Caenorhabditis elegans: one gene and its partners. The protein of the gene in region 3 purifies or fractionates together with the protein of the main gene of each other region. This does not show direct contact. Each region holds a gene or a part of one and is shown on either strand. Other genes may lie near its edges.

Region 1 (6,912 bases), on a different chromosome or scaffold from region 3:
ATCAATGAATAGTACAGTTGTATTCGAGTCAATAGACGATCCCACGTCAACTATGCTCGTGGATGATAATGGAGACAAGTTCATTATTCAGAGTAAGTCGGAGCTACTGTGAAGTTTTTTATTTACATTTTTTTAAACTTCTTACTTAGTTCCAATTTCCTTTCTTTTCAGAAGGAGCTACTACATTGATCGTAGGAGGTGAAAAAGAAGAAGATCCCGAAAAGAAAAAAGGCGAGGAAGTGATAAAGAACTTTATTTCTGAAGAATACAAAGTTGAAATTGATGCATTCAGGAGAGAACACAATCTATGGACTAAACAGAACAGTAATGTGAGTTTTTGTTGATAAGTGAGATACATATTATTCCAATAAATTGCAGACAACACTAATTAAAAGAAATGAAACAACATGTGATATGTACATGCGATGTCGTTCACAAATGCATTTGGCTGTTGATAGTTGTGCATGGAGATTTGCAAGTGATCAGTTACTGGCTACAATGGCTGAATCTGCTGAGAGCCTTTTGTATAAGGTAAGTTTCGATTCAAAATTGAATAGCTGTTCGGCAAAACGCCACAACTGCAAGGTAAATTCCAACAACTATAAAAATTAGTAAAACTTTGTAAAAAGCTCTTATTAGTGTTGCAAAACTTTGCCAAGGTCCTCTGAAAAGCTGTAGGAGTTTGTTAAATAGCTAAAATATTCAACTGTTTGTAAGCAATTGGCAGAGTGCGCTAAGAAGTTGGTCGGACTAGTTGGTTGTAATTCTAATTGATTAATTCTTCCAGGACGACGGAGTGTGCTCACAAAAAGATGGAGACAAAGTAATTGAGCTTTACGAGTATATGATTAAAAGAAATGATAAGCTCAGAATCTGTTTAGATAATAAGAACGAAAAATATGTAAGTTACACATATTCTGTATGAATCTCACTACAATTAACATTATTTTTCAGTTTGAAGATTCAGTTTGTCTTGCTTATCCTGAACACAAACGCCATGAATATGATGATTCTCTCCGGCGACTTTTGAATACATCGTTTGAATATTCAAAATCTAGAGAATGTTTCCATGATGCTAATTTGATTCAAGAGAAGTGTACACATCTCAGAGATTGTTGTCCGAACTTTGATGAGTATGATTTTTTGAGTTTCTGATTCTCTTTTAAAACTGAATTTTCAGATGCCGTGAAGAAACTTTCGAGGTTGAAGTGGAAAGAACAATTATCAGCTTGACAGCTACAATAAATGAGATCAAACAAGAATGTGTTAAGAGAAAAGCCAAAGAAGCTGTTAAGGTATCTTTTTTCTATATATTTTCGTTTGTTTTGTTATCGGTGAACTAACTCTCTTATTTTTCAGAATGTTGTTCGACAACTCCTTCTAAATACAGATGCTGGTCAAAAACTTCAAGAAATTGCGCAACTTGGTTTAGACATTTCTCGGGGAGCCCGAGTTGTTCGAATGGCCAAATACAGAGCATAATCTATAAAATAATCAAATAATACTGTTTTACATTCCAATTAACTTTGCCGGTTATCTCACTGGTGCCAATTTTGTTTATTGACTTTCCGGTTTCGCTTTAATCATTTCATTCATATTTTCACGAGTAATTTAATAATTAATAACTTATTAATTTTTAAAAAACAAATGAAATATTTTTTTAAGGTTTCGACTTATGAGTGGGAAAAGTTTCAGGAATCGATAGCATATTATTTACAATTTTCTAATATCACATTGTTTCTTTTCACTTCCACCAAATGATAATTCCAGTACAGAAAAGAAGATGAACAGTAAATCGTGTTCTATTCTCCAAATGGTCACTTCCATTTCTCTCTTTCTACAGTTGATACATTGCATTCCACACTTGTAACTGAAATGACATGCTAAATGCCAAAGAAAAGATGAATGGAAATGCCAAATGAACGTTCCCCTCACACGCCTTCTTTCTTCACTACTTTTTCTTTTCTTTTTCAACCATTTTGTGACGAAGAACTGTTTTCGAAAAGAAGTATTAATTCCTCAATTTACTTCGGTAATGAACTTATTAGTAACACGATAAGTTTTGGTTTTCAGGACAGTATGCTTAAATATCTTTTCTCGTTTTTTCTCGGGGCAAGAAATTTGAAGAAATATCAAACACATATAAGTTAATATGGGTTAGTTGAGCACTGAAGATTATTTTCATATTGCTGATGTATCTTCCAAAGTCCTTTCAAACCACTTTCAAAATATTTTTTTAATTTAATTTATTTTTTCATATCTTTTCACCACAAAAAATGGAGAGCATTGAAACTTTTCAGAAATAACTAATGAATTAAAAACTTATAATAAACATTATAATGTTGATTTTTAACCTCTCTCGTGAGAATAGTTTCATGAAAAACTATTTCATTTGGAACGGAAATGTTTTACATTTTTGTATTCCAGAAATATTAATTGTTTTTATTGTTCCATTAATCAAATCACCAATGTTCAAAATATTTTGAATATCCAATTACTTATCGTTCATCTCACAATTTTCACCGGTCTGCACCCTAACTCGAACAAGTTTAATTTAAAATGGAAAAAAAAGAAAGAAACGCAGAGAAAACAATGTTCAATTAGCACTGGAAAAGATCGTTTTCGGTTCTCGGCACGACGCTCGTTGATTGACGATGTTGAGGTGATAAGTGATAAAAAAGAGAAAAAAGAAGGCTTTTCCTCTTTGTATTCTTCTTGTTTCTCATTCACTCACTCACCTTCTCCCTCCTTTTACATTCGATTTTTTCTGCCAACCTTGATTAAAAATCTATCCCTTTCACTAGTTATCTATCATATCAACCATTTCTAGTAGTTCCTTCTTTACTTTTTCCCGTCATTCTACCAATTACCCTTTCGTTTACTTTTTCCATTTCTTTTCATAAAATCATTTTCAGACTTTTCAGAGAAATGTCAATACATCAGACGTCATTTCTATTGTTCACACTTTTCAGTTTATTATCATTTTCAATAGGTTTGTTTCGTTCAATCAAAACACAATAAAATGCCATAAAAACAGGTTCCCAGACCCATATTCAGTTTACACTAAACATAACAATACCCTTTTCACGTATATCTTTTTTTCAGCAGCCGACACATGCCGGGACTTTGATAATAATTGTAGAGATTGGATTACTGTCAATCCAAATGCATGTGATTCAACTGAATATATTAAAAGAAGTTGTCTCAAGAGTTGTGGACAATGTGGAGAGGTTGATCCCAGTAGGTTGTTTCTTTATTTAAAAATTAAAAACTTCAGCTATTACACTTTATTAAAACACTAATGATAGTTTTAAAAAAGTGGAATTCTACATAAAAAATTTTCAAGAAATGACGGAAGAATTTTCACATTAGAAATTCAATAAAATTGAGCAAACAATCTGGAAAAATATTTGAAAGGGTAGTATTTAACATAATATTAGACTTCAAAATAGTAATAAACATTTAAACTATTATATTTTTAAATTTGCAATTTCTTGTGGTTCTAAAACTTCTAAAAACATACTATTATTTCAGAATACGATTTACGTCGTCTTTCTCAGGAACTCACACCAATTGGTTTCCTAGTAGGGAAATGGAGATCTGAACATGGAGGAAAAGTTCGTTTTTGAAACTGTCCAGATTCTTAAATTTAATAAATCTAGGCAATCTTCCCAACAATTCCGAAATTCACATTTGGAGAAGAAATCGAAATTTCAATTCCAGGCGATGCAATGCAATCGGCTCAAGCTCTTAACTACACGTAAGAAAATAACTGAAATTATGCCATGCCTGCATGCCGCCTATTATTTGGTGGTTGTACGAGGCAGGTAGGCATGTTAACGTTCACGTGAAAGGTTTATTGGAAATATTGCCGTTTAGATGTTTCAGATTCAGAAAATATTTAAATTTAGAGCGTTCGCATGGAGTGTAGAAAAAAGAGATGAGAAGAATCCAAACAGGTTTTCATATGTCATTTTTTGTTTTTATTTATTTTCCAAAAAAACCTATTTTTTTGTTTCGAACTGTTGAGTGTTTTGTCTTGGGATTTTATTTTTGATTCTGTCAATTCTGGTGGCTCTTCTATTTTTTTCGGAAAAGTGTACTTGTAAAAGGGAATTGGTGACAATAGAAATCTCAATACTATCTTCAAAATGCTCCGAATTTTCAGAGCATTTGCCTGGTCGATAAATGATAAAGATGAGTTGCACAGTGAATATGGATATATTTCTGTGAAACCAAACACAAAAGAAGTCGCACTGACAACTGTAATGAATAATGGTTTTGTGACAGTCGAAGAAGGTCCAGTCAATGGAAATCAAATTAGATTCCGGCTTAAGGATATCGGAAGAATTAGTTTCAGCAGAGATTTGCCTGTTCATGATGTAAGTTTTTAGAATAGTGTTTTTGTGTGTAGTCATAACAATGAAAACCAACAACAAAATTCAAAAACGCTCTAATTTCACATAATTCAATCAAACTCAAAATTTAAAATATTCAGCTCGTCCGAGAATGGACTCTTCTGGATCGATCAACACTTCAAGCCCGTCTGAACATGGAGACATTAACACATGGAATGCAGGAGCACACATTTATTCGTTACAACAAAATTGAGCCATAAACTGAAGAAAAACGTGTTTATCTCTTTCTATTCCACTTCTAGTCAACTACTTCCCACTCAATTGATTCCCCCTTTCCCCTTAAAAATAAAAACTCTTGCTGCTTTTTATGAGTTTTCCTAAAAGCTGCTAAATATGTATATAGCACCATCTCAAGAGTCACTGTATAATAGAATAGTGAAAATAAATGAGCTGTGAAATGAGCCAAAATGAAAAAGAAAAAGAAAGCAAATGAAGTGAGAAAATGGATGCAAGAATTGACACTTTTATTGGCAATTCATGAGGATTCTAACGATGAGTGAAGATGAAAGAGTAGACTAGCGGAGAATAAGGTTTTAGAAGAAATTTCGATGGGAGTTGATGACATTTGTGATTTTTAAACTTAAATTTTAACTTATCGCTTAGTGATCTTTAATCATAACCGACTTTAGCAAGTTCATGAAAAAAGAAACTTTCGATCGGCATTCGATCATAATTTTTAGACATATTATAGAGCATTCTCGTGTCTCCCCATAGTTGTAAATATGCAACCAGATGTCCGTTGGTGCAATTTAGTTGCTCATCAAGTTCTCTATGTCCATTTCTATTCTGTTCAACCACTTCATTTCCCCTTTTGACATTTTTCTATCTGTGAGAGCTTCATCTCCCATCGTTTCCTCTTAACGTCTTCAGAAAGACAAATCGTTGCCAAATTCATCATTTTCGAGTGCCAGGCATCCAATAACCGAAAGAATGGGAGCAAAGAGTGCTTTTCAACGGAAATTAGAACCATTTTTCTGAAAGAAGTCTGCGCGAGATAAGCAAAGTTTTAAATTTTCATGAAAACCACAAGCGCGTATTTTGAGTTTTTCACAACTTTAGAAAAATTCAAAAAACGGATGCCAACGTTACAGGAAAATGCCGAAAATTCGAGAAACAATAATTTCCATGAACATTTAAAAATAATTTTTTCACGACCCATTTGTAATAGTGAATTAGTAAGGGTATTTAATCTGATACATTTCCAAAAAATAATGCAATGTTTGCCGAAAACTTGACGATTTGCCGTTCGCCTGAAAATACTGTATGATGACTGAAAAATTTCCCGTTTGCGAAATCTGTGATTCCTATAAAATTAGACTTCTAAATAAATTGGCATTTAAAATCATGATTAGAAGAAAACTAAACCACAAAGAATATGAAAACACACTTCTATAATTAATTTTTACAATTAGATATATGATTTCATAAAGCTGCAGTGCTGTTATTTTGATCTCAATCTATTTACAAAAATAACACTGAAAAGTACTTTATGCCTTGCAAGAAATGCTCAATTTCTGTGTATTCTACGCTTAAGCACCTTCTATTCAGCACCTACTCGGGAATTCTCCACCAAATCCATTCTCATTTTCTTCTTTTCTCTCTCAACTCGTCTTCAATCTCTTCACCTCGTCCACTATTTCATCCCCGGAGACTTGTTCCCCAGACGTCGTGCCTCCAATCGATCCATTTGTGGAGCCCGCGTCGTCCACAGAGCTTCTGCCGTTTCATCTCTGCGTCTCGTTCACCCATTAGACGTTGTGCTTCCTCCCTGCCTGAAAATAGCCCCACACAACATAGACTTGCTCTTCTTTCTTCTACTTTTTTTCTCATTCTTTTTTCTCCAGATACGCCTTTATTCAAATGACGTGTTTCTTTTTTTTGTCTGTTCAAAAACCAACAACTCATGATCATCAGATGATGATGGTCAAAAATCCCTTCCGGTTTTCCTTTTCTTCCCAAATTTTGGCTTGGACTTTTTTTGAATTATGACACCAAAACATGCAACGACGTATATATATGCAAACGTAGAATATCGAGTTTCAGAACCGAATCATTGTCGAGATTAAAAGGGAGGAAATTGATATGTGATGGAAATAGATTGAGGGCTGAATTTTTGAGATTGAAAAAACAATTGTATAATGTAAGTAGATAAAACAAAGCTGTATTGAATTTATAAATATCTAATACATTTTCTAATACAAAAATAAATTTGATTTTGTACTTTTCTTAAAAAGTGATCAGAATTTCCACTAGATGTTTTTGGCAACAATCACCTGATAATTGGATTAAAATTTGACAAAACTGTTTAAGTACAAGCGAACTAGATGAGAATTTCTACCTTTTTCTTTCAATTGAATATTTTCGTATTCTATCCCTCCGTGCTTTCATTTTCCATTGACGTTTTATGGTTCAATATATATCCTAAAAGTTTTCCTTACCCTTTCTCCTACTAGTTTCATCTCTTCTTCTAAATAATTAACATTTCTTTATTTAA
Region 2 (10,425 bases), on a different chromosome or scaffold from region 3:
GTTGCATGACGTATTCATGCAGCTATTTTCTTGTTTTTCCCTTCAAACTGCTAATTTTTTTTTAAATTCAATCAGAAATTTTTGCAATAGGTTCGCTATTTTTGAATCGGAATTTTTGTCCCTTTTCAAAATTAATTGTGTATTTTTCTTTTTCTTTTTTTTTGATAGATACAAATTTTCAAATAGTAGTTTTCTAGTTTGCGGGCATATATTTTCCAAAATCAGAAGCTTGTAGGAACTTGTATGATTCATGATTTGTTGTGACCTTGGTCTATAATTCATGAATAATATTATTATTATTTTGTTCTTGTTCTGCCATAATAATCACATTTCCCAAACACTTGATTTTTCAAAATCCTTTTTTGTGCTCAATCGTAATTACTGATCCTGCTTTTTCACTCATTTCTCTAATCTTTATATTTCATTTCTCCAAAAAATGTGTCTGAGTCTCTACTATAAACCATTAATCTCTCACTATTCTTTTTCTTTTCGTTTCTCTCTTCAATGCCATTGAAGCGGGGAAAAACCGACGACGACACACACCACACACACACAAACAACACATTGCATAGGCTATATCAAAAAATTATTAAAAATGTTCTTTTTTTTTTGATTCTTATAAAATATTTGTGATTCTTTCCCATGTAAAATTCCGTTTGAACTTAATTAGTGTTATCTAAAATGGTCTCTGATCTTTGATAGTGTCTCTTCAAAAAGAGGGTTGTACGGCAAATGTTCTCTTTTCGATATGGTTGTTTTAGATAAAAAATTAATATAATGTAGAATAATATTTAGTCAATTTGAACACAATTCTTGTTTTGATTGAATTTTTTTAAAAGTATCTAAAGACTGAAAGTTAGTCACTGCTGAAAAAATGGGTCAAAGTTTTGGCAAGTTTCGGTAGTTGGGCTCTATTTCAAACAAAATTTAGGATTATTTCCAGAGAGTTTTCGAATTTTTCAAATTGCTTTTGCTTTCATAAGTTTGCTTATTGCAGAGAAATCAGCAATTTTGTAGATTTTCCGCACACCCTAAATATCAGGTTCGACAAATTTTAAATGTTCTATTTTCAGCAACACGTTTGGATCAATTCTTCATCTCTCATTTGAACAAAAAATTTATTTTTCATCCTAAAATCTAATTTCAACAAAATAACTATCGTTTTTTTCCTTCCAGATGAATTACTAATTTCACTCTAGTTTTTGCAGAATTTTTGCACTTTCAGTTAATTCATTCATATTAAATTGATCTCTATAATTGCAAATGTCATTTTCTAATCATAATCCCATTAATTTCTGAAACTTGATTACGTAGAATGCATAAACTTTAAGTTGGCAGTCCAAATACACATGCAAATGTAAATTCGACCCTTTCTCGCCCATCTGCATTTTTCATTTGAGGTCATTTTACTTTTGTGACCAACTTTGTGTTCTCTGTGGTCTTTTACTCTTTTTTCGTGATGATAATTATAGTTATAGCAAAAAAAACAATTATTGTGACAAGCTGTGTCCAACGTTTTTCATAAATGTTCCTATAACTTTTGCTCCTGGGGTTCGGAAAGTAATCAAATATTTTTAAATATGATTTGTGTGTGAACTCTAGAAAACTTTTAAATTATGCTGTCAGATGCAGAATTTTCATTGACTAGCAAAAACACAAGTCGAATGCAAACTTGATTTTAACTCTAAAAAATAGTATGAAGAATTTTTTCTATTCACTTTTCCATCGTGGGTGCAAAACGGCAAAACAACCAAGATGTGGGCGGAACCATTACACCCTTTTAAAAAATAAAACTAATTTTGGTGAATATTTTAAAATAGATTCGAAAATATTTTGAAAAATACAAAACATTAAAAGATAAATGTATTACTTTTCTGAAAAAATTCCGATGAAAACAACTAATGAACTTGTTTTCATTTTGAGCTTTTCAGTTTCAAGTATTAAGATTTGAAATTCCTAGTTTTAATTTCTGGCCAGTGAACTTTTCTTTCATATTTCGTTTGATGTTTAGTGTATCACTGGTTTTTTTGCAAAATGTTTATTTCTAATTGATTTGAGTTTCTTTAAAAGCAGAAGTGATTAATTTAGGTTATTTTAAAAGCTTCAAGATATTTATTCTTAATATTTATCGCTAGAAACTAAATTTATACAGGCCCCATCATTCCTCTCGTTAATATTTTGTTGATTAGCTTGGTTAGTTTTCTCTTCGTTAGACGAATTCCCCAAATCTAGGTACCTAGAAGCAGTAGAAGTGTTGTTTTGATATTTCCTGTTTATATCTTCCATTTCTCTTACTTCTCACTCTTCTCATTCCTCTAACTTCTGCTTGTTGTGTTCTTGTGTTCCATTTGATTCTGCTCTTGCTCACCGGAGCCACGGCAGCAAATGCAACAAAAGAAAGGAAGAAAAAACGAAGCACACACGCAAAACACATGGCATATTTTCACTTTTGCATCGTTGTCTCTTTCTCTTTCCTTCTTCATCTTCCTTCTTCTTGCTTATGGCTCATGACACCACACCACTTGTGCTCTCTTGGCAGGAAAGCCTGAGCTCACAACTTCTTCAAGTTTTCAGAATATTGTTGGATGGAGAGAAAAGGGAAAGGGGATTTCTGAAAATGATCGGAGGTGAATAGAGTTGGTCAACAAATCTTTCTTTCTCTAGAAGACTTTTCATTTTGTTTTTTATTCTGTTTGCTATGTTGTCCTCTTTTTTGTGCTGTGCTTCTTCTTTTTCTTCCTCTCCTTCTTGTTCTCAACCTTCCAAGCGGTAATGGATTTCTCGTTTTCATTTCCTTTTCTGCAAGATTCATGTGATAATTTCTGTTTTTCCATGTCTCTTTTTTTCGCAGTCTTCATTCCAAATTTTGTATAATCTTCTGATTTCTTTTATTAAAGCCTAAGATCTCAAAACTTAAAACTCAAGATCTTCCTAATGACTTTGTCTTGTGAAATTCTATTATTTGTCATCATTCTCTTGATACTCAGTTATTAGAACTCTTATAGTTAGCCAATTTGTGAGTCATCCTCTAAACATGAATAAATTTGAAAATATTGTCATAATTTCGAAGTTTTCATGGATTTATTTAGATTAATCTTTTAAAGATTGAAAATATTTTGACAAGCTCCTTTAAGTTCGAATTTCAGAAGAATGCAAAATTACTTTTTTTTTGGAAAATTAAACAACTACTAGATTTAGTTTTGAAAACTAATATGTAAATTATTAGATCTGCAAAAATTGAGTTTGTTTTTTCAATATTTTGTTTTCACTCTATTCTCTTCTGCTCAGTCGATTTCACTTATAACCTTGTTATGCCTACGTGCATATTTGCAAAACCTCATTTCGTGCAATTTTTATTTTTCAGGTGATTAAACCCGAAGAACACAAAAAATAGGCAGAAGGCATACATATATAGAAAAAATGGAAGATATATTGATGCCTGAAGGAGAGAAAGTTTCCATGGAGAACTTTGCTCTCCTCAGAGTTCTTGGAAAAGGAGCATATGGAAAAGTATTCCTTGTGCGAAAAGTTGGTGGAAAGGATCATAATACTATATATGCTATGAAAGTGTTGAGAAAGACCAGAGTGAGTTATTTTTGGAAAAGAAATGAATTTAAAAATAATAATTTCTCATTTATACGGTGCTGAACCTTTGTATTATTATTTGTTTTTTCATCTCTCGCCAAGAGCGAAAAAACCGACAATTGCCGGAATTCATATTCTTGAAATGGTTTTGAACTTTTCGAAACAAATAACTGGATTGAAAAATTTTTGAGAGATGGGAAAGTGAGGTGAAATAAAGTTTATAGATTAGTATTTTAATATGAAACGAAAAAAAAACAAATTTGATTGCAGGTGCTCACAAAACAAAAAACCCTGGAGCACACAATGGCAGAGCGTCAAGTACTTGAACGTCTACGTGGAACACCATTTCTTGTCAATTTGTTCTATGCTTTCCAAACTGATACCAAATTGCACATTGTAATGGAATATGTGAGAGGAGGAGAATTATTCACACATCTTTGCTCGAGAGGTCATTTTGATTTAGAAGCTGCTAGATTTGTAATTGCTGAACTTGTGGTTGCAATTGATAGTCTTCATCAAAGAAAAGTTATTTATCGAGATTTGAAGCTTGAGAATATTTTATTGGACGAAGAAGGACACGTTAAGTTGACAGATTTTGGATTAAGTAAATTGTTTCTACCCGGAGAGTTGGATAGAGCCAATTCATATTGTGGAACTATTGAATATATGTGAGTTTTGAAATTTCCAGCCAAAGTTTAGGCACACTGCCAAACGTATTTGGAATTAAAAAAAAAAAGAACTTATCAAACCTCAGAATTATTTGCATGTCAATAATTTAAACATGATTAGAATATACAATTCGTAGTTTTTGATGTAGTTCCAAAATTAGGATTAACAAAAACTGGGTAATTGCTACTTTTTGGTTGTATATTAAAAGGTATCATTTTTTGTTGAAAATTATTGATCATTGATATTTGATTATTGAGCTATTGAATTTTTTCATTGAGATTTTCATATAATTCTTTACAAACGAAAATTGGCACAGACGGCTGTGTAAAAGTAATTTCTGAATAGATAAGAAATAAATTCTCAAGTTTAATGATTCCAGGTCGCCAGAAGTAATCAATCGCCCTGAAGGAGGATACAGTGATGTTGTCGATTGGTGGTCTTTGGGTGTAATTTCATTTGAATTGCTCACTGGATGCTCACCATTTACTGTAGATGGAGCACAAAACTCTAGTAAAGATATTGCCAAGTAAATCATTTCCTCATTTTCTTTATAATTTCTTCGAGTTTTAGACGAATTATGACAAAGAAGGTCCCTTTCCCAAAAACTATGGATGTTGATGCTCGCGATTTCATCGGCCAATTGTTGGAAAAGAAACTTGAAAAACGTCTCGGATACAATGGAGTTGATGAAATTAAAAATCATAAATTTATGTCAAGTATTGACTGGGATGCAGCTGTTAAGCGTACATTGAAGCCAGTGATTGTTCCAAGAATTGGACATGATTTGGATACACAGTTCTTCTCAGCTGAATTCACTTCTCAGCCACCATTATATTCTCCTGCAGAGTCACCATTAAATGCTAATACTCTGTTTAGAGTGAGTTTTTTCTTAACTTGGCAGGCACCGATTGCCGGATTTTGAGCCGAATTCCGAAATATGTTTGACAAAAATAAATTTCCAGAAGAAATTATGTGATTACAGGGATACTCATATGTCTCCCCATCTGTTATATTTGCCAATGACAATGTTATCGGTGAAGAACTAATGGCTGAAGATGTCAATGCACTTCTCGCGAGTTCTTCATTTTTTGCCAAGTACAAACTAGACAAGTCGGACGCTGGTCTTTTAGGAAAAGGAGCTTTTTCGGTGGTCAGGTAAATTTTTATATTTTCATCAACATTTCATGTGCTGGAACTATTTTCTAGATTCGAAAATCTCGAAAAAGTTCAACAAAACGTTATTTTTACATAGTTTTAAAGATAAAATATACAAATTCAGACGATGCGAACGCGTAGTTGACGGAGCCCAGTTTGCAGTCAAAATCGTATCACAAAAGTTCGCAAGTCAGGCTCAACGTGAAGCACGAATTCTTGAAATGGTTCAAGGACATCCGAATATTGTTCAACTTCATGATGTACATTCGGATCCTCTTCATTTTTATCTCGTCATGGAGATTCTGACTGGAAATGAGCTGCTCGAGAGAATTCGAAAATTGGAACGATTTACAGAGGTTAGAATTCTTTTAAGCATTTCTTTAATTCGGAGTTACTCTGAAAATTAAATTTTTAGAGTGAAGCAGCAGACATCATGCGGCAGTTGGTATCAGCTGTGAAATATCTTCATGATAAAAGAATTGTTCATCGAGATTTGAAACCAGAGGTGAGTTTCAATGATCAGATTATGTTAAGTGGCTGCAAAATAATACAAAACATAAGAATAAAATACTTCCAAAAAGTGAAACAAATTAATAATTAAAGGTGGAGTATACTCGAGTAGTTAGAAAATTATGACGCAATTTTTAAAAAAACGGGCACAGTTATTCTTATTCCAGAATATTCTATTTGAAAGTATCGATTCAAGTGCCCGCCTTCGTCTAGTCGATTTTGGATTTGCACGTCTACTTCCAAATTCAATGGAACAACAACTGAAGTCTGTTCAAGTTCTGCGCAAGATGTACGGTCTCATCGCACACAATCATTCACTCCACTCGGAGTAACATTTAGTCTAGTCAAAAGTTATTGTGTTTTGTCTTTTTTCACTCATTATTGGGCATATTTTTGTTTTTTTTTCTTAACTGGGAGCATGTGTCTCAAGCTGAAAATTTAAAAGAACAAATGTTCGAAAAAAGTTACTTTTGGTAGAGAGGAAGACGGTGGTGTGTGATGTTTCGTGCATTCTTGTTACAGATTATCTTCTTTTTCTATCCTTTTAAACCTTTCTTTTCACTTATCTCTACTAAGGGTTTCTTTCTTGATTTCAGAGATTTTTGAAGAAACACACTCATTCTCTGACTCTCACTTGATTTTCAAGACAAAGCTGTTTACTAACAATTCACAAACACTCACATTAAGTTTCTCAAATTTTCTGTAAACTTGAGAGTTAGAGAATGCCCAATTCATCTTTGAATAACGTTTGTTTTCACTAATAGCTTCTATATATTTGCCTAACTCTCACTATGAAATTCTTCAATCATAATTACAGGACCCCCTGCTTCACACTACAGTATGCTGCTCCAGAAGTTTTAGATGTTGGAGATTCTCAACCAGAATACAACGAACAATGTGATTTATGGTCACTTGGAGTTGTACTGGTTAGTTGTATAATTTTGTAATAATTTAATGTTTCAAAAATCGAAGTAAAAATTTTGAGAAAAAACAAAAAGACCCCTCAAATTTAAGAAACGATTGATAATCGATAAAAATCACGAAATGGAAGCATGCAACTACAGTACCACATCGTGAAAAATTTTTTGGACGCATTGAGAACCCTGGTTATTAGAAATTCATAAGAAATATTTTAAATTGTGTGGCACATTTTCTACGAATAAATTTTTCAGTTCACAATGCTATCGGGTCAAGTTCCATTCCATGCACGTTCTCGTCAAGAATCGGCAACTGAAATAATGCAGAGAATTTGTAGAGCAGAATTCTCATTCACAGGAGACGCATGGACAAACGTGTCAGCAGATGCTAAGAATTTAATAACCGGTCTTCTTACTGTGGATCCAAAGAAACGTCTTTCAATGCAAGAGCTTACAGCTCATATGTGGCTCAAGTCTTCGGCTTCAATGGATACACCACTTCAAACTCCTAGTATTCTGCCATCATCAGCAGGTAGTTAAACTGATGTTATTGAAAATTGAATAACCTAATCTTTTGACTTTTCAGATGAAACATTCAATGAGACACTGCGCGCATTCCTCCACGCTAATCGTGATGGATTCCATCTTCTCGATGTTGCTGCTGCTCCTCTCATGAAACGACGCGGAATCAAAAGACAATCTGGGGACAAGGATGCTTCTGGAAACTCGAAAAAGTGAGTTCAAGAACCCTAATATTTGAAACTCCTCCAATTTGGGGTACGGTTTCAAAGTGCACAAGAAACACCACATTTGACGACATTTCTCTAAAATTTTATTTTTTAGTTTTTAAGTTTGCAAATAATTGTAAATTCCTTATTTTATACTATTTAGAACGTCTATTCAAATATTATATTTATGAAATTATTAATAATAATTATTTTCTAAAAAAATATGATACTTCTAATTTTGATCGCATTGTGAACATTTTCGTTTCTGAAAATATACTTTCATTTTCAACAATTTATGTCATTTTCCAGTTCGCGAGTTACCCAATTCGAGTGTCTTCCGGAAGAACAAGAAGCAGAGATGACATCATCAACATCCCGTCCAAGCAATTTGGGAATGATGAACTATCGAGAACCAAATTCTGGAACAATCCGAGAAACTCGTGGCTCAGACTCCTCCTAGACCTTTTTCTTTGTTTCTTTTAATTTTTCTTCCTTTCTGTTCCTGTTTCTCTCACTGTTTGCGTTGTGATTCTTTCGTCCTAGATGCTTTCTAGTCTGTACTCTCTCATTATTCTCACTATTTTACAAATTTTCCGTCACCTGACACTTGTGGCATTGCCTTCTCTATGAGTACAGTTGCTGAAATGTTCATTGAACCTGTAGTGATTGTCATTTGTTAGATATTTCGCATTTCTAGTCAATCCTCTACCAATTTTGAAAAATATTGTGATTCGTGCATTTCATTTTATGTTATTATATCTAGTCTCATGTAAATTTCTAATTTTTTATAATCATTTTGTTAGATACACATATCTTTATTCATCCACCTATCCCCATGTAATCTTTTCATTGTCTCCAGTGACTCCCTGAACTCTTGAACCATTTCCAGAAATTCTTCCATGTTTTGCGATGAGCATGATTGACTTGCCAATCGACTTTTTGAAAGATTAATAAAATTAAGTAATTCGTTTTACATATTTATTTTGGAGAAGGTTTGAAAGCTCCGAATCATAATATCGATTGAAGCATCAACGTGAAAACCTGATGTAATGTGAGAAAATAAAATATGGAAGTGAAAGCATTTTAGAGAATATTTTTAGCGATAAGAGCTTGGTGAAGACGGTGAAGTGGCAAACCAACCACATTCGGCATACATCCTTCGATTCCACGAACGAAGACAGCGCCAAAGTCACCGATTCCATATGAACCTGCTTTTTTCCTGAAATTTCGATTTACTAGGTCAGTTATTCGTGTTTTTTTATTGGAGTTTTCAAATGTCGTGATGAAAATGATGAAAAACGTGATGAAAATTTTAAAAATCCCTCAAGTTTTGCAGCTCTTTCAAATACTCATAAAATGTTCAAAATTTCTTGACCGCCAATTTTTCTTTCATTTTTATGACTTTAGATAAGAAATTCAATTCCAAAAATTTTGATAACTTTCAATCAATAAATATTTCCATAACTTTTTTTTGCTAAAAAAAACTAACAATGGCTCTCCGCTTTTTACATATTCGTCGATAACTCTATCAGGAATATCTCCAAAATGAACAATTGTTTTCTCGATGATCTCTTCATATTGATCAGTTTCATGATAGTGTAGAGCCATTCCAGTATATACATTATGAGTATTGTTACGAAGTCTGAAATTAATTTATACAATTATGATGTTGAAAATTTAATTACCTTTTCAAAGTTTCTTTAGCGTCATTGGCATCTGTTGGTTTTCCAATAATTTCTCCATTGAATTCGATTACTGTATCACACGCAATAATAACAGAGTACGGCTCCTTAATAATTCATATATTAATATAATATCTCAGTTTTTATAATTTCAATTTTAGATTTTAAAAATATGGTAGCAGGTCTCGATATGCTGCAGCACTCTGAAATTTTGCGCAAAAAGTTTTAGGTCGCGTCGAGAAATGTTGCCGTATTTTTTTTGTTGAATTCCGATTTGTTTTTCAACTAATAACTATATTCTCAAGTTACTGAAAAAATAACTATACCTCTTTTCTTTTCATTTCTTCCACAATAGTCGTCAATTTTCCTTTAGCTGTTTCAATGACAAACTGCTTAACTGGCAATGTTTTTGGTAGATTTTCCTCGAAATTTGAAACTTTTACGATTACATTTTCCAATCCCTGAAACCGAAATAAATCTTTCTTTTTGTAGATTCTCATTTTCTCACAATTTGCTGCAACAATTTGAGTCGATTTGGTGACTGACTTGCCAATACAATAATGGCTTCTTTCATTCCGAACTTGCCGTCGTGGGCGAAACACGTGGATCTGAAATTTCGATCGGCTCTTGTGCTCAGTCAATTATTCACAAAAAGTTGGGGACATCCGGATGTAATTAAACAGTACGTTTTGTTTTAATTGAGAAATTGAGAAACTAATAGATAATTAATTATTGTTATTATTATTTTAGAATGGCAAAATATCGCAGAGATGTCATGTCAAAGAGGCTTGTGATGGATTATGTGAAAGAACTTAATCCCAAAATCGACATTGTGAAGGTAAATTTTAATTTCTCAAAAACATTTTTCAATAATAAATAATTCTCAGAAATATTCAAAAAATGGCGTAACTTCATACGAGGGATTTTTCGCAAGTCCTCATGCCACTCTCTTTCCCAATCATATGCCAGGAAACGTCGGTCGAGCACATTTCAGAGCATATCTTCCTCAGAAACCAGGCCCCGTATGCATACATTTGGCAGGCACCGGAGATCACTCTTATTTTAGGTAAGAAAATTGAAAATTTATTTTAAAAAATACGGTACCTGGTCTCGGCACGACAAATTTTTTTGTACTTTAAAACTCGCTGCAGAGTTTTTAACTTACAGTTTCCTTTAAAG
Region 3 (6,337 bases):
TGGAGATAAAAACCAAAAACATTTTCCGTTAAAAAATTTATTAAAAACATCGTCACTTGTCAATTGAACTCTCATATTTTTCAGATTGTCACGTTTGCAAATTTCAATATTTCTATTGGGTGCAAAGTACGCAAAGATCAAAATCGAAAACTTTGCGTGCACGTTATGCAAACTTTTTGAGCAGTTCGGGAGAAAATTGGCGAAAGGGGAAGCCCATCTGAAAATCAAAGAATCAATTGTGTTGAAAAGAGCAAAGATTGTTCCGAGTAAAAATTAAATATACTCTTTTAAATTTGGATTGGAGAGGCCGAAATGTGTCGGTAAATATTAGGGAGAACAATATATTCGGGTGGTGCTGACGCGGCGAATGTAACGAAATTTTGCTAGGAATAGCAGTGATTGGGAAGTCTGACAAGCACCCGACATCTACCTAGTTTTCAAACCCGATAGATGTCGGCCGCTGCAACTATGAAACATTTGGTATTGTATTTTTCTAATTTGAAGTCAAAAAATGTTGACCGCACAGTTTATTTTAATGAACTTGTCATTTTCAAATAATAGAAAAAAAAACGTTTTTAGAAGAAAATAATGATTCAACATTTTTTAAAACTATTACATTATTCGAAAAAAAATGTCGAAGTGAAATATTAGGTTTAAACATGTTTTCAAATTACTGGGGTCATTTTGTTTTTGCTTTGTTTGATATTTCATTTAAGTGGTAAATCGAAATCTATTTAAATATTTAAATTAAAGTGAAACTGCATCAATCCCAATATTATGCTTTCAAATAAAATTTTGATAACAATATTCTGAAACACTTGGAATATTTTTTCGGGTGCAAATTGAACTTTTCTATGATAAAACTGTATAAATCTAAAATTATGATTTATCAATTTATTTTGATAACAAAGAAACAAACATTTTCCGTGAACTTTTTGATCGAACGTTTTTTGGCACATTTTCCACGACGTTTCAAATTCATACGCAATATATAATTTATTTCCTGGACAAATCAACAATCAGAATGGTGAGTACTTTTTTTTCTAGAAAATCGAACAATTGAAGGTATGTTTCAGTTTTGCATTCTAAATTTTCTACTGCTCCCTCTGGTTGTCTTGGCTCAAGTTGGAAGCTCTTGTGATACAGGTAACGCTTATTTAAAAAAAAATTTCCAATTAGATATTTAGATAACTGTATTTCAGATGGAATCCCGAACCAATTCCACTGCAACATTAAAAATTTGAAACGTGACGCTCAGAACTACCTCGAGTGGCCTAACTGGTGTCAAGTGTTTCATGGAAATTTGCATTTGAGAGTGATTAATTTGAAAGCTGCAAATTTTGAGAAATTGGTAAGGTGACATGTATGTTGGTTTCTGAAAATGCAGCGTCCGACATCTTCCGGGCGCAGGCACTCTGTACTTTTTATCAAATGATGAAATTTCTCGAATTCTGTTCTAAGTGTTATCTATCTGAGTAATGTTGAATTTCTAAAATAAAGAATCTGAAACCGCATTTTTATTTTTTGCAGCGTGAAATCCGTGGAACCCTTTCACTAATCAATTCTCCATTCAATCGAATGCCTCAAATGCCAAATCTTGTCAGTATTAAAACTCATAATTCATTCCCTGGACTCGTTATTCTCAACAATACAAGACTCCGTGATATGCGTGGATTTGTGGATTGGAATAAGGATGTCAAGATTACGGGAAATGAATTTCCAGTTTTTATTTCTGGAAATCTGGAATTGGATACTGTTAACCTGCCAGAAATGTTCCACAAACCATATTCTCCACTTTCGTGTGAAAAGAGATTGATGCCAAATTATAATATTCAATTTGCAGAAGGTGAGAATTGAGAAAAATATATAACAAGAAAAAATATTATGCGGTTTCACATAGTTTTCATAAGGACTCAGTATTTAGTTTACTATTAGTTGAGTAGTTAAAATGAGCATAAGTGTACGTTTGTTTTCATAATAATCCAAACTATGACTTATGATAATTATGAACATTTTCATATTTACTATTTTTTTTTACTGTTTCAAATACACTACTCGCATCTGCCGTTCTTCGTTTTAGTTGATTTCGAAGCACGACAACCCATCAATTTCATTTTGAGAGTCACATTTACCATATCTAAATCAATTTTCAGGAATGTCGCTTGCTGCCGTCCTATTCACATTGATCATCTGTGCTACAATGTTCCTTCATCCATTGAGTATGGGAAGTACTAACGTCTATTTTGTGCCTGGATATCATAAATATTGAAATTTGCAATTATTTGGATAAATTATTGATTGTGTGTGTAATTTTTTATATTTATGATGTAGTAGAAAGTGATTATGCTTTAAAAAAAGTTGACAACCGTTTCAAGTTGTATATAAGTTTTCATGTACAAAAATTAAACTCAATATTTTGATACGAGATGGAAACTAATTCAGTGCATTTAAAACCCTGATATCTGAGCGTTTGGCTTAAAAATTATCTAAACTTACAAAACAGTGATAGTACAATAAAAATAGATACAACACTAAAATATTTCAAATTGAGCATTTATCGAAATTTCTTGCCACGTAATACTCCGCGTTTTGGAGATTTCAGCTAAAGCTGAGAAGTTTTACAGGGGTTATCACAAAATTAGTTTATTTGGGCACATTTCTAATAGTAAGTCACAGTACTTTAGTGGGTAACGTAGTAATAAAATATGAATTTGCCTAGTACTACATTGTAAGAACGTTTAAATAATATTTAACTTAAGGCGATATTTTTCCAGAAACGTTAACTATATTTTTGGATGGAACAAGGAAAGAAACTGTAACTGGAAAAATTTTCCGGTGTTTTTTTAATTTAACACCGAAACAGTGAAAAAATTGTTCTGAATTAATACGTTTTCAATTGAAAAAAACTTTTCTTCGGGAAAATGAGTCAGATGTTATATTAAACTTTAAAATTGATACAAACAAAGAAGTACCGATTCAATTGTTTTTCAAAAATATATAAGACCGTTCTGAAACAGAAAAAAATAAATCATGATTTTCTACATTCTTTTCCTGTTACCTCTGGTCTCCGGGCAATGGGGTACCCCTCCACCAATTGTCACTAATGAGCAATGTCAAGTGGAATACAAATCGATAATGAATTGTGTTAGGGTAAGTCATTGATTCAGGAGCGCCCCACATTTAGCAGGCTCTGGCTAAGACTAGTCGCATAGCCAACCCGCATGATGTAGGGTGCTGCTAATTTATTTTCAATCGTATGCCCTTTTCAGAATCCACGTCTTTTCACAAGAATTGATGAAATTCCCCGTCCTGAGAAATCAGAAAATCTTGCACTAATCGAAGAAGTCACTCACGTCCTAGATTGTTCTGGATTCTTAAATTGCAATAGTTCAAGAATTTTGCAGTCATATTTGTTCAATCAACGTTGGATTCTAGACGTACTTCATGGAAAACTGGAGCCATGTCTTGGGAATGGAGTTTTACGCAAGATTTTTGATTCTTGTGATCCTGCTCCAAGTTACAAGAATTTCAAGAAATTCGATGATGATGATTGCAATAGGATTACTGTGTACCTACCTTGCTTTGTGAACGAACTGAAAAACCAGCCAACTTGCAAAATCAGTGATGTAAATCTATTCAAACGAATGATTTTTGCAATGAGATCCGGTTGTGTGATGGGCCATCAAATGAAAATTGAGTTCGACAACTATGGAATTATTGAAAATTCATTTTAACTTAAATCTTGTTACAATAAATGTGTGCTCAATGCCATGCAATATATTTGAATTATTTAAACCGAAATACTAATGTTTACAATTAACTTGTTCATATTTTCAATAAGTTCAGTTTCTAACTTTTGTAATGATGAAAATTATCATGAGATTAATAAAAGGCGGTTTCAAATTACATTCATTTGGAAACTATACATGGATTTTTAATAAATCATTGTCAAATAATTTACTGTTTCATGATGTTAAAAAGTAAACGCCAAATGTTTATTATTTGAATTGCTTTATTTTTTAACCTTTTAAACTTTTTAAAACTTTATTTAACTTTATTTATTTATTTATTTGTTTAAACTTTATTTTTTAATTTTTAAACGCACATATTTAGGAGGCGCATTGTTCATTTGCTGACGTTGAAAATTACAAAGAATAGTGAATTCAGCATTCTAATGAAAAATTCCAGTTTGTCGATATTAACAGAGTTAATGAAACATGATGGGAAAATTTAATATTTTTAAATTGTTTCAGCACTATACAAAATGTGTCCAGCTTAAAACCAGCAGTACAAATGGTTATAGGTATTCATTAAATATTCAAGCATAATATAAAACGTTCTATAGAAAATTTCGGCTTGCCGTCGACGCTGTATATTTATTTTGGCTGAATATTTAAATTTCGTAAAACAAATTCCTCTTAAAAACCAGTAACAGGTAAGATTTAGATTTATTGAATAAACATTTTCAATTCAATATTTTTTGTGGCCTATATTTTTAAATTTTGTGAATTTTTAAAAAGTATAAAAATTCTTAAACTGTAAATTTTTATGGCTTGTGCACAATTGTCACTTTTTTTTAAATTAATGATCACTTCGAGAGAGTTTCACAACTAATTTTTATTATGTATAATATAATGTTCTATATTAAAAAATAACGTTTAAAAAGAATATGGTGTTTCACACAGCACCCGACATCTCATGGGTTAACTCACACAGTTTAAAGTAGAAAACCCGCAAGTTTTCCGGTGCTGGGAGCAATCATCAAGTTGTATCAATTTGCTAAGCGTGAATTATTAATTTTCGTAATTTTTTTAATCGAAAAACGAAAAATTAGATTTTGATTTTAATTATCAAAAAAAAAAAATGTTCCGTTTTATTATGTACTTTTAACCATGTAAGTTGAAAATTTTTTAATCCTGGGATCATATAAAAAAAATGAAGGAAATTTGACATTGAACTTCGACAACACTTTCAGCTCCGATTCAACCCAAAATTGAGTCTAGATTTTTTAAAATATCACTGATAAATTTTCGATTTCCCAGTAGATTAAAAATGAAGTTATTTAATAAAAAATACAGAAAAATACGTTTAGAAAATATTTTTACTCATAGTTTTCTGACTTGAAGTAGACCCTCAAGATGTCTGCTGCTGTAAACAAAAGTGCTCATCTTTTGGTTAATCAAAAAAAAAATTTTTTTTTTAATTTTCCATGTTTTATAAAAATCATGTTTCACTATGTGTTTTTATTCACCAACATAAAAATAAACTGATCAACAGAATTATAAGTTTTTTTTTCTTATAAGTTTTATATATTTTTTATTCTAAAAATTGAACAGTTTGACAACACTTTTTGCTCTGTTCCAGCCAAACGCCCGGTCAAAATATTTGTCTCCCCCAGGTGTTCAACAACCTGTCAAACATTGCACAGACTATTATTCTATTTATGTACTCTTTCACCTCCCCAGTAGCACTCAAATGCATACAAAATGTATCTCTAAGAAAAGGTGTGAAAGCCGTTCTCCCCGCCAGGTGTATTTATTTGTCTAACGGCTTATAACATTAGCCTGGAGACTTATGTTGACCCCTTCAATGCTTCAAAGTTCGCTTTTTAGTGTTCCCTCCGCTTTCTCTACCACTTGAACTCTAAAAAATGTTCTTATTTTTTCTGTTACCTGTATTCAGCCTGGCTGCTGTAATTCAATCATTCACTATTGGAGTCTCTACTGAACTACCTACAGTAACCACTGTGGCTCCGGTGGCGCAGGTTGAGCCAATTACGGTTCCAACGAGGACTCAAAACACTTATAATGCAAAAATTGAGCAAAGATTGCCGTTTTTAAGAGGTTAGTCGGGACTTTTCTGAGAATTTTTTTTTTCTGAGAATTTTTTTTTTCTGAGAACGCGTAAAAACTGGTAATTTTATGCTGTTTCAAAAACAGCTGAAATAATTTTCTGTTTTTTTTTGTTGATGTTGAGCAAAAAGTCTTTGCAAAATTTGTATTTTTCTTCATTTCTCAGCGTTAACTTGTTTTTTTCCCATTTTGTTTTTTTGTTGGTATAGTACGTGATGTGCATGTTTAATGCATTTGAAAAAACATTTGGGTCCTGTTCAAAATGACCGAGAATTTGCTCGCCAAACGCCACGCGCTCCGAGGAGTTTTTCTGTACGAGTTCCTCCAAGGCTGCAAGTGCAACGAAGCTCGACGTAACACGTGTGCAGTGTTAGGCAAGAACTCTGTCACCTATAATACCATGAAGTTTTGATTCAAAAAGTTCACGAAAAAGACATACGACCTCGATGATAAACCAAGCTCCGGTCGCTCTCGTTGGAATATCG

What was found.
Region 1: the proteins of ule-2 (region 3) and C15F1.1 fractionate together in Caenorhabditis elegans (co-fractionation; one large-scale study listed by BioGRID). This does not show direct contact.
Region 2: the proteins of ule-2 (region 3) and rskn-2 fractionate together in Caenorhabditis elegans (co-fractionation; one large-scale study listed by BioGRID). This does not show direct contact.

What each region holds. Positions count from the first base shown.
Region 1 is NC_003280.10:6,986,965-6,993,876, forward strand, and holds C15F1.1 (ShKT domain-containing protein), read left to right. Parts: upstream 1-2,915; 5' UTR 2,916-2,928; coding exon 2,929-2,992; intron 2,993-3,105; coding exon 3,106-3,240; intron 3,241-3,292; exon of another isoform or gene 3,293-3,397; intron 3,398-3,534; coding exon 3,535-3,617; intron 3,618-3,662; coding exon 3,663-3,760; intron 3,761-3,911; coding exon 3,912-3,959; intron 3,960-4,168; coding exon 4,169-4,382; intron 4,383-4,498; coding exon 4,499-4,618; 3' UTR 4,619-4,723; downstream 4,724-6,912. Other genes in the region: C15F1.2 (uncharacterized protein), read left to right, coding at 1-92, 172-329, 379-531, 788-901, 955-1,133, 1,181-1,295, 1,360-1,482.
Region 2 is NC_003279.8:8,011,048-8,021,472, forward strand, and holds rskn-2 (Ribosomal protein S6 kinase), read left to right. Parts: upstream 1-3,362; 5' UTR 3,363-3,420; coding exon 3,421-3,585; intron 3,586-3,855; coding exon 3,856-4,253; intron 4,254-4,633; coding exon 4,634-4,780; intron 4,781-4,824; coding exon 4,825-5,131; intron 5,132-5,236; coding exon 5,237-5,409; intron 5,410-5,533; coding exon 5,534-5,765; intron 5,766-5,824; coding exon 5,825-5,914; intron 5,915-6,086; coding exon 6,087-6,208; intron 6,209-6,736; coding exon 6,737-6,845; intron 6,846-7,091; coding exon 7,092-7,371; intron 7,372-7,422; coding exon 7,423-7,570; intron 7,571-7,873; coding exon 7,874-8,024; 3' UTR 8,025-8,533; downstream 8,534-10,425. Other genes in the region: dod-18 (Nucleotide PPase), read right to left, coding at 8,648-8,783, 9,054-9,206, 9,250-9,353, 9,573-9,707, 9,755-9,820; C54G4.7 (AB hydrolase-1 domain-containing protein), read left to right, coding at 9,807-9,928, 9,997-10,084, 10,134-10,312. UniProt on the Caenorhabditis elegans protein: Serine/threonine kinase that may play a role in mediating the mitogen- and stress-induced effects on transcription. May repress transcription via phosphorylation of 'Ser-1' of histone H2A. May phosphorylate histone H3.
Region 3 is NC_003282.8:14,632,101-14,638,437, forward strand, and holds ule-2 (Uterine Lumin Expressed/locailized), read left to right. Parts: upstream 1-3,025; 5' UTR 3,026-3,030; coding exon 3,031-3,150; intron 3,151-3,269; coding exon 3,270-3,734; 3' UTR 3,735-3,924; downstream 3,925-6,337. Other genes in the region: irld-4 (Receptor L-domain domain-containing protein), read left to right, coding at 1,025-1,027, 1,077-1,146, 1,203-1,351, 1,531-1,846, 2,154-2,269; srlf-27 (SXP/RAL-2 family protein Ani s 5-like cation-binding domain-containing protein), read left to right, coding at 5,651-5,843.